Drosophila melanogaster: one gene and its partner. The protein of the gene in region 1 interacts with the protein of each later gene in a pairwise test. Each region holds a gene or a part of one and is shown in the gene's direction. Other genes may lie near its edges.

The links.
Region 2: the proteins of Btk (region 1) and Cad96Ca interact in a two-hybrid assay, tested with the Drosophila melanogaster proteins (one study listed by BioGRID).

What each region holds. Positions count from the first base shown.
Region 1 is NT_033779.5:8,299,033-8,302,958, reverse strand, and holds the start of Btk (bruton tyrosine kinase), read left to right. Parts: upstream 1-2,212; 5' UTR 2,213-2,453; intron 2,454-3,926. Other genes in the region: wol (wollknaeuel), read left to right, coding at 136-201, 261-435, 627-1,023, 1,080-1,422. UniProt on the Drosophila melanogaster protein: Required for proper ring canal development. Also required for the development of male genitalia and for adult survival.
Region 2 is NT_033777.3:25,206,474-25,210,399, reverse strand, and holds the start of Cad96Ca (cadherin 96Ca), read left to right. Parts: upstream 1-2,116; 5' UTR 2,117-2,280; intron 2,281-3,306; 5' UTR 3,307-3,351; coding exon 3,352-3,487; intron 3,488-3,926. Other genes in the region: CG13654 (uncharacterized protein), read right to left, coding at 1-101.

The sequences.
Region 1 (3,926 bases):
GCGGCATTTCGGTCTAAAATTCTTGGAATTAAATACGTGGCTCTGTTTATCTCGCACAAATTGGAGAAGTAATGTCTGCTGGCAGGTAGCAGGCGCACCTGTTCATACAAACTAGTTGCTAAAAAAAGCCCTACAATGTGGACCTGCCTCTGCCAGCTCTGTTTCTATCTACTCTCGACGCTTGCAGTCGCTGCGCTGTCGGTCAGATCTTGAATACATTCGCCTATCTTTCTTATTTTTACTGATAATCCATCGTTTAGATTGCGGCTCTGGTGCTCTACAAGACGAAGCCCTATCCCAACATCAAGCGGCACAAGGATGAGGAGACCTTCCTGGACCCGCACACCATTAAAACAGTGACTTTTCCCAGTCTCGAGGACTCGCCAAGTTTGGAGCTCAGTGTCATCGTACCAGCTTACAATGAGGAGCAGCGCTGTATGTTGCTTATTTGTTTTTGTTTTGGTGAATCACAGTCAACATTTTATCTATGCCCATTTGTGATTGATTGTCTGGCACCCGAATTTATCTACAGAAACTTCATTACACTAACATGTTACTTTAAGTTACTTTCCCCAAAAGCTATTCGATTTTCTTGTTCTCATTTGTGTGTGTTTATACTCGTTTAGTGCCTTCTATGCTGGACGAGTGCTTGGCCTTTCTGGAACAGAAATCTGCTGGCACTCCCAATTTCACATACGAGGTCATCGTGGTCAGTGACGGCAGTCAGGATGCCACCGTATCCGTCGCCTTGGGTTACTCGAAAAAGCACGGAGCAGAAAAGGTACGCGTGCTGGAACTCATCGAAAATCGTGGGAAAGGAGGTGCCGTTCGCATGGGTATGCTAAGTGCACGGGGTCGTAATCTGCTCTTCGCTGATGCGGATGGAGCCACCAAGTTTCCCGACTACGATAAACTGGAGGTGGCCCTCAAGCAATTAGCTCCCGAATGGCGAGACGATGGCATTGCCATTGGATCGAGAGCACATCTGGAGAACGATGCGATTGCAACAAGGAGTTTCTTCAGGTAAGATAAAATCCTACATTTATTAGCTGACCAAATACTGATCTGCGTTGCCACAGAACAATTTTGATGCACGGCTTTCATTTCCTCGTCTGGCTGTTTGCCGTGCGCTCCATTCGCGATACCCAGTGTGGCTTCAAGCTGTTCACCCGAACGACGGCCAGGAAACTCTTCACCAGTCTGCATGTGGAGCGCTGGGCCTTTGATGTTGAGCTGCTGTACCTCGCTGAGAATTTGAAGCTACCAATGTCCGAGGTTGCCGTTCGATGGACGGAGATCGATGGTTCGAAACTGACACCATTTTGGTCGTGGCTGCAAATGGGCAGGGATTTGTTCATGATCTGGGTGCGATATTTGGTGGGCGCCTGGCGGATTGCCTCCATACAGAAGAAGGAAAAGTGATGTGGACTTGGAGGGCATCTCATTCCCAATATTAACTAGCATTTTGTGTCGAACTTACTCCGCTGTCGTGCATTACCAAAACTCTTTTAACTCTAAACTCTATTTTTGTAGGCCTGATAAAGTGTAACGAATTCTAGCTAGTTAAGTACTTAAGTACAGTATTTTTTCAAATAAAAAATAATTGATTTGAATAAAATTGCGCGGCAATGGTTCTAAATTGTTAGTAATCTAAAAAAAGTAACTATACCAAGTCGTCTTCCTTTAGTATATTGCGCTTTAAATATATAAAGTTTCGTCACATTGCTTGTTTAATTTTGGAACGAAGAAATAATTAAAATCACTAGTTATTTTTTTGAAATATTGAAATACGCGGGAAAATAAAATAAAAGGCAGTATGTGTGGTATTTTGTATTCTTCTGGTATTTTAAGAGTAGTTATTTTCATATCGGTGTATCTCCCCACTCGAAGTGCGGTCACACTGCAAAGAAGTTGCGGCGGCGCGTTTAGTTTCGTATTAAATCGTTACTATTTAATTACAGTTAATTAGTGTAAACAAACCAATCAAACATAGATACAGCTGCCACGTGAATAAACGGAAAAGATTCTAGTTAAAGCGTAGGATCGCGAGTGCAACTGCCATGGGCGCCGCTAAGTAAGGAATTCCAGGAATCCTACGTTGCGCCTGTTGCTCCTCTCCCGCTCTCCAAAATTGCGTGCAGGTGTGTGCGGGTGTCTGCTCGTCTGTGTGAGCGTCTCAGCTGTGCCTGCGTTATATATTGTTTATAAAGATTTTTTCGCAGTATGCAAATGCTGAACAAGCCGGTCGGTTGATATTTCGTATTTACTCTCGTCGCCGCGCAAACGAAAGTGTTTTGTTATTGTTGCGTTACCCGTTGCGTCTGCCCCCTCCAATTGGAGAATTGTGATTTGTTAGTGGTGTGCGCTGCTGGTGTTGTTGTTGTACTTGCTGTTATTGTTGTTGCTATGCGGTCGGGTCATTGCTTCAAATTGCTCAATCAACGGCACTTGTGGTAAGCTGGTGAACTGGCACAGTTATCAATTTTATTCCTCCTTTCCGTCCCCTTTTTATCGCTATCGAATTACATACATACTTCTTTTGTTCTTTGTCTTATCAGCATTTATTCAATTGCCCAGCAAGCTGCGCTTGAAACTATTGTATTCTGATAAGAAAGGCGAACTCTGTGCTCGACGCATTCTAATCAGACGCCCTTGCTTTTGCATTTTCTGAATGCATTTCATTTTAAGGCATCGTGCAACGCAAAAAAAAACAAATCAAAGTTAATATAAATAATTATGCTGTGCTGATTTTATTAATCAGCTTATGGCGACTTTAGCTTAAAGTCACAATAGAAACTAATTACACGAAATTTTTTGTTGTTGTAATAATAACAAATAGAAGTACTGCTAAAAAAATATCGTTTACATAGTTGCTTAACTTATTTTAAATTAAAAATCAATCTTTTTGGAATATAAAGTAACTCAAAAATTGATTTCAAATTAGACTGAAATTCTTGCTAAGGTCGCAGATTCTCCAGTCTTCCTCTTCCACTAGAAAAAGCGCGACAATAAACAAAAATTAAATGCAAAGAAGAATACAAACTAAGCGCGACCATTTGCGTGGCGAAATTCAAAGTCAAAAACGAGTTGCCAGGCCACGCCCGCTATATGTATATATACATATATACTATATGTATGTATATTGATGTGCTTATAGCCCAGGTCTTTGGGCCTCTCGCTCCACCAAAAAGATTTATGTACACATTGCGCCTTCTGCCTTTTTGCCATCCTTTTTTTCCTTTCTGTGCCTCGGTCCGTGTTTATTTTATTACTTATGGCCATGCGCGTTGCGCTGAAGATTCTGATTCTCTCGCCCTCTCTTTTTACGCTCCGTTCGCCCATGCCCCCGCACTCCGCTCCTGTTTTTGTAGCGGCTCTGCTTGATTAAAGCGCGTGGGGGGTGGGGGGCGTCAGGAGACGGTGAGGAGGAAGAGTTGATCAGGAGATCCAGCCAATTGTTGTTGTCGCACGAGCATTTGTCGCCTTAGCTTTGTTTCCCTTTTTTGCAGACGCGTCCGTTCATGTTCCTTGATGATCAGAAGCGGATTTGTGAATCAGATAAAGAAAATCATATCGTCAGAGTAAAGAAAACTAAAACTTTTTTTTATTAAACAAACTCTTTTTAAAATCATCCTTAGTAAGATGTTTAAATAAATCAATAACTCAACCATTCCCGAATTCAGAGCACTTCGCTCCTGGAGTCTTCCTGCGTCTTGTTAGCTTTTGTTGAAGTGTGATAATGCCAGAGATCGTGTGGTGGCTGCTCCTCCGCTTGGAGCCACCTTTTCAACGGCCCGTTTGTTTGCGTACACGCTTCTCGTTTTGCGAAATGGAAGTTGTGGGGACAAGGTGGCAAGGAAATGGGGAATATGCCGCTTTGGGGGCTAATCCTTTAATCCGCTGTGCGCGACTTCAAGGTCAGCAAG
Region 2 (3,926 bases), on another chromosome or scaffold:
ACGGTGGTCGACTAGAAGTAACATGAAGACCACCAGAGGACTGAAGTTGGGACGATGTGTGAGTATTTGAATCATTGTGTTTCTACAAGTAATGGTAACTCCTGGAATGAAAACAATTGGCATTAATTAGTTGAGTAATACGCTGAAAAAGTGCACATTTACTTTAAGTATGATTTAAAAAGCATCCTTCTCAAACTTTCATACCAGTAATTTGTTTTTATTTCGCGTGCAATTTCCAGGAGCAAGTTGGCTCAACTAGAATGGGCTACATACAGGGGATGGCTTTGTGCCCACGGACAAACCCAAACGATGCGGACATGGATAACATATAATGCTGGGCCTACGGATGAGCATAAATGTACATATTCCCAAACCCCAAACTTTCTGGCACAAGTACAGACATAAAGCCTTTTTGTTAGCTTGTGCAAGTAAATTGCACCGTTGCAAAAATGCCAAATTCCGGCCCATTTGTGTGGCGCGGCCAAAACCAATGTAGATTCGGTGCTATGGAGAACTTGTCCGGCAAAAGCCGAAAATAAAAAACTTCTGCACTCGATGCGGTGACGCTGGGCCTGAACTGTGCATTGTTGGCTAACACCTACTATAATTTATGGCCGACTTGTAGCCCCCAAAGCACTAGGAGAGCTATCTCGACCAGACTGCAGACTATCCGTGGGCTTACCTCATGCCCACCGAAATATATAGATACTCCACCACATAATCTGTCACATAAAAAGGCATATTGACCAAAAATGAACACAATTATTTTTCATCTTGATTTATCCATACCTGTTGCAGTTCTACATGCAATTTGTTTACACTCAACAAGCTAAATATTAGGGCCGAATTCTATATTGTTTATGAGCTATATGCATCTATATTATACATCGCTTTGAGCGAGCTTTTAATTAGTCAACGTATGTGTTTTCTGAATGAGAGTCGCGAAGCAACTGACGCATGCTGGTTCGGTTCGTAGAATTCGTGCTTGACCTAAGATCTTATCAGTACCACTCAATTCTCTTATCGAACTGTTGTGGAAACAAACATGCTCTTATCAGTTTAGCTTTGAGCTCATTCAGTGTGTCAAAACAATAGGCTTTTCACTCGAATATTTAATGGGCACTGTAGAATGTGAATTATTGATGCGTAAACGATGCAAAAATGTTTCTCAAACTTAAAACACTTGCTTTTGCTGATAATACATATCTGCTTACTTATTCATCAAGCTGAGTGAGATATATATATCAAACACATTATGCTCGACCGAATAATGACATCCCACTCTGCCGGTCGCCAATAGACTGAAAGCATGAGCTCTGCTCACCTGCTTTTTTTTTTTGGTTTTTTATACCTTTCGTATATTGGAAGTTTTGAAGATGTTCAAGATCTTTGAATGTGTCTTAAGAGAGGTTTTGACCTTTTTTCGCGGGAAAAATCCGCGTGACGCATTCGAGTTTACAATGCATTTGGGCAAGCAAATAACTATACTGGCACTTAGGTAAATAAGCAGTCGCGGAAAAGCTTTGTTGAGTTGTTTTTGAACTTCCGCGGCGTTTCCATTGACGACGCTGCTACTGCAATCGACCCCATATATCCACCAGATATCGGATGGTCGCTAAACAGATAAGCGCTTTGATTAATGAATGGGTCTCGGAGCACTAAGCTTTATTGTTCCGGGGAAATGGGGGAAATCCCAAGGCAATGCGTGATGAACTCGTGAGTGAGTGCTTTAGTAAGAGAAACATATGATTAGACTTGGTTTTTATATGTACAATATTTACATGAGAATGTTGGGCAATATGCAAGACGAAGCCTTAACGATTTTAAAATAATTACTTATTCTTATCAATGGCCGATTATGTGTCTAATTTGTATTCAAGTACACAATAATCTGCACCAACTACTGATAACTCAATTAATAATAATGCTCCGATCCACAAACACAATTCCAAGCGAGAGAGAGAGAGCAAAGAGAGGCTCTGAGCAAATGCGATCCACAAGAGAGCAAGTTCAAGTTCGTTTCTTGTGGCGGCTAAACAAGTTTTTCGTTTTTGAGAGCGCGAGTAAGCGGATATTTCGGGAGAGGTCTTTGGGACTGGGGCTGGGATCTATAGCTTCAGTTGTCTGTCCGCCGAGTGGTTCAACGCATCGCCGATCAAGTCCCACCGATCTGGGATCGCCCCATACGCAACCCGTGAAAGTTTGTGGATACCAGTTTCAGTGGCTTTGTGTACAATCTATATATGTGAAATTCAGCGAAAATCCCACCCTAAAATAAAAGTAATAATGGCTGCAAATGAAAATCAAATTTAAAATATATACTACGTGCAATTGGGTGACTCATTGTTACCAAAAAAAAAAAAAAAAACAGACGTGTGAATTCAATAATTAGCATATTGGAATGGCCTCTTTTGATGGCCCAATGTGGATATTTATATAATTAAATGATGAGCTTTTATTTTGTTGTCTTGCTATGGAGAGCAAGCACACCTCACCTAGGCGTTTTCTTCAGTTTCTAAACTTCCTTTTAAATTATTTGAATACACAAAGCATTCCCAAGCCGCTCTCTTTCGTCCCAATCTATCTGTCTTTTTCCGTGCGATCTTAAACTATGTGAGAGTGTGCACATACAGTTGCGGACAAAGATCTAAAGTCATACATAAAATATAAAGATAATTAAAGACAAGGTCGTCTTTATATATAATGCTCTATTAGAAGAGTAAACACCTACAATTTTTATAAATATTCCATTAAAATATAGTTTAACGTGTTTCAAGTTATGTGAAACTATTTGAATGTAGTTGACTCTTCTGGAGATTTTTCAAATATTTTCCTTTGTCAGTGTTGAGTGGCCTGTCGCTGCTATTGCTTTGACCGCTGCTGTTTGTACATGTATATTGGGGTTGTGCTCGGTTGCCCAGTTTGTTTTGCTATTGCGCCATGCACCCGATGCCGTATACGTCAAAAAGAGAAATCGCCGACCCGCTTCATGACGCGCAGCGTCTTAAGTTATATTTTCTTTTAGTTGGGCGTGATGTCTGCCCTTCACTTAAATATTTCAACAATCATATATTGTATGCTGGATCATTGCAACCAGTTGGCAGTGGCATTTGGCATGCAATATTTCCGGGCTAAAACAAACGACTGTTTCCTCTTTGTTAATTTAATAAAACCCATTTCTATGGCGGAATCTGCAGAATGCGGACGACACAAACTCCCACGCGTTTATATGTTTTTTCTTGTTTTCGATTTTTTTGAACACGTTGTGCAGCAGCTTTTAATTAAAATTTCATCACCTTGTCTCAGTCCTCGGACATCTGGCAGGCTGCCTTTTAGGCGGTTGATTGCGCAATGGTTTATCACCATCACAACCACGAAAGTCGGATAATACACTGCAGAAAACAATTAACTTCCTGGCGGAGAAGAAGCCTGCTGCTGACCATCATTGTGGTCACAGCCACAGTGGTTTCACTGATTTCACAAGAAGGTAAGTGTTATTAAGTGAATATTCTGTAGGGCCTGGTTACAACTGTAATTAAGCATACACATTATGTTGGCACCCTTCACACGTCCAACTATTGTAGATTATCTGTCAGATTGGCTATATGAGGGTATCGGGTCAATAGTCTCCGTCTATCGCGATGTCGCAACACGTTAATGACCACAATATTGATGCGTAATTGGCGCCCGAAACAATGCGAATCGCTCTTGAAGTCCCACAATGGTCCAATTGTCCCCGTGGGCGAGAAAAACAAATGAAATTGAGCTCCAGTACATTTAGCCTTGACCGTGAATGCTCCACCAGATTGCTGGGCGACATTTTGGCGAAGGCGTTTAATACCCGGTGTTTGAACTCTTAATTCGACTAATGGGCCAGGAAATAGATTGAATTTTATTTGCACTTTTAATAAAAAAGCAATAAATTG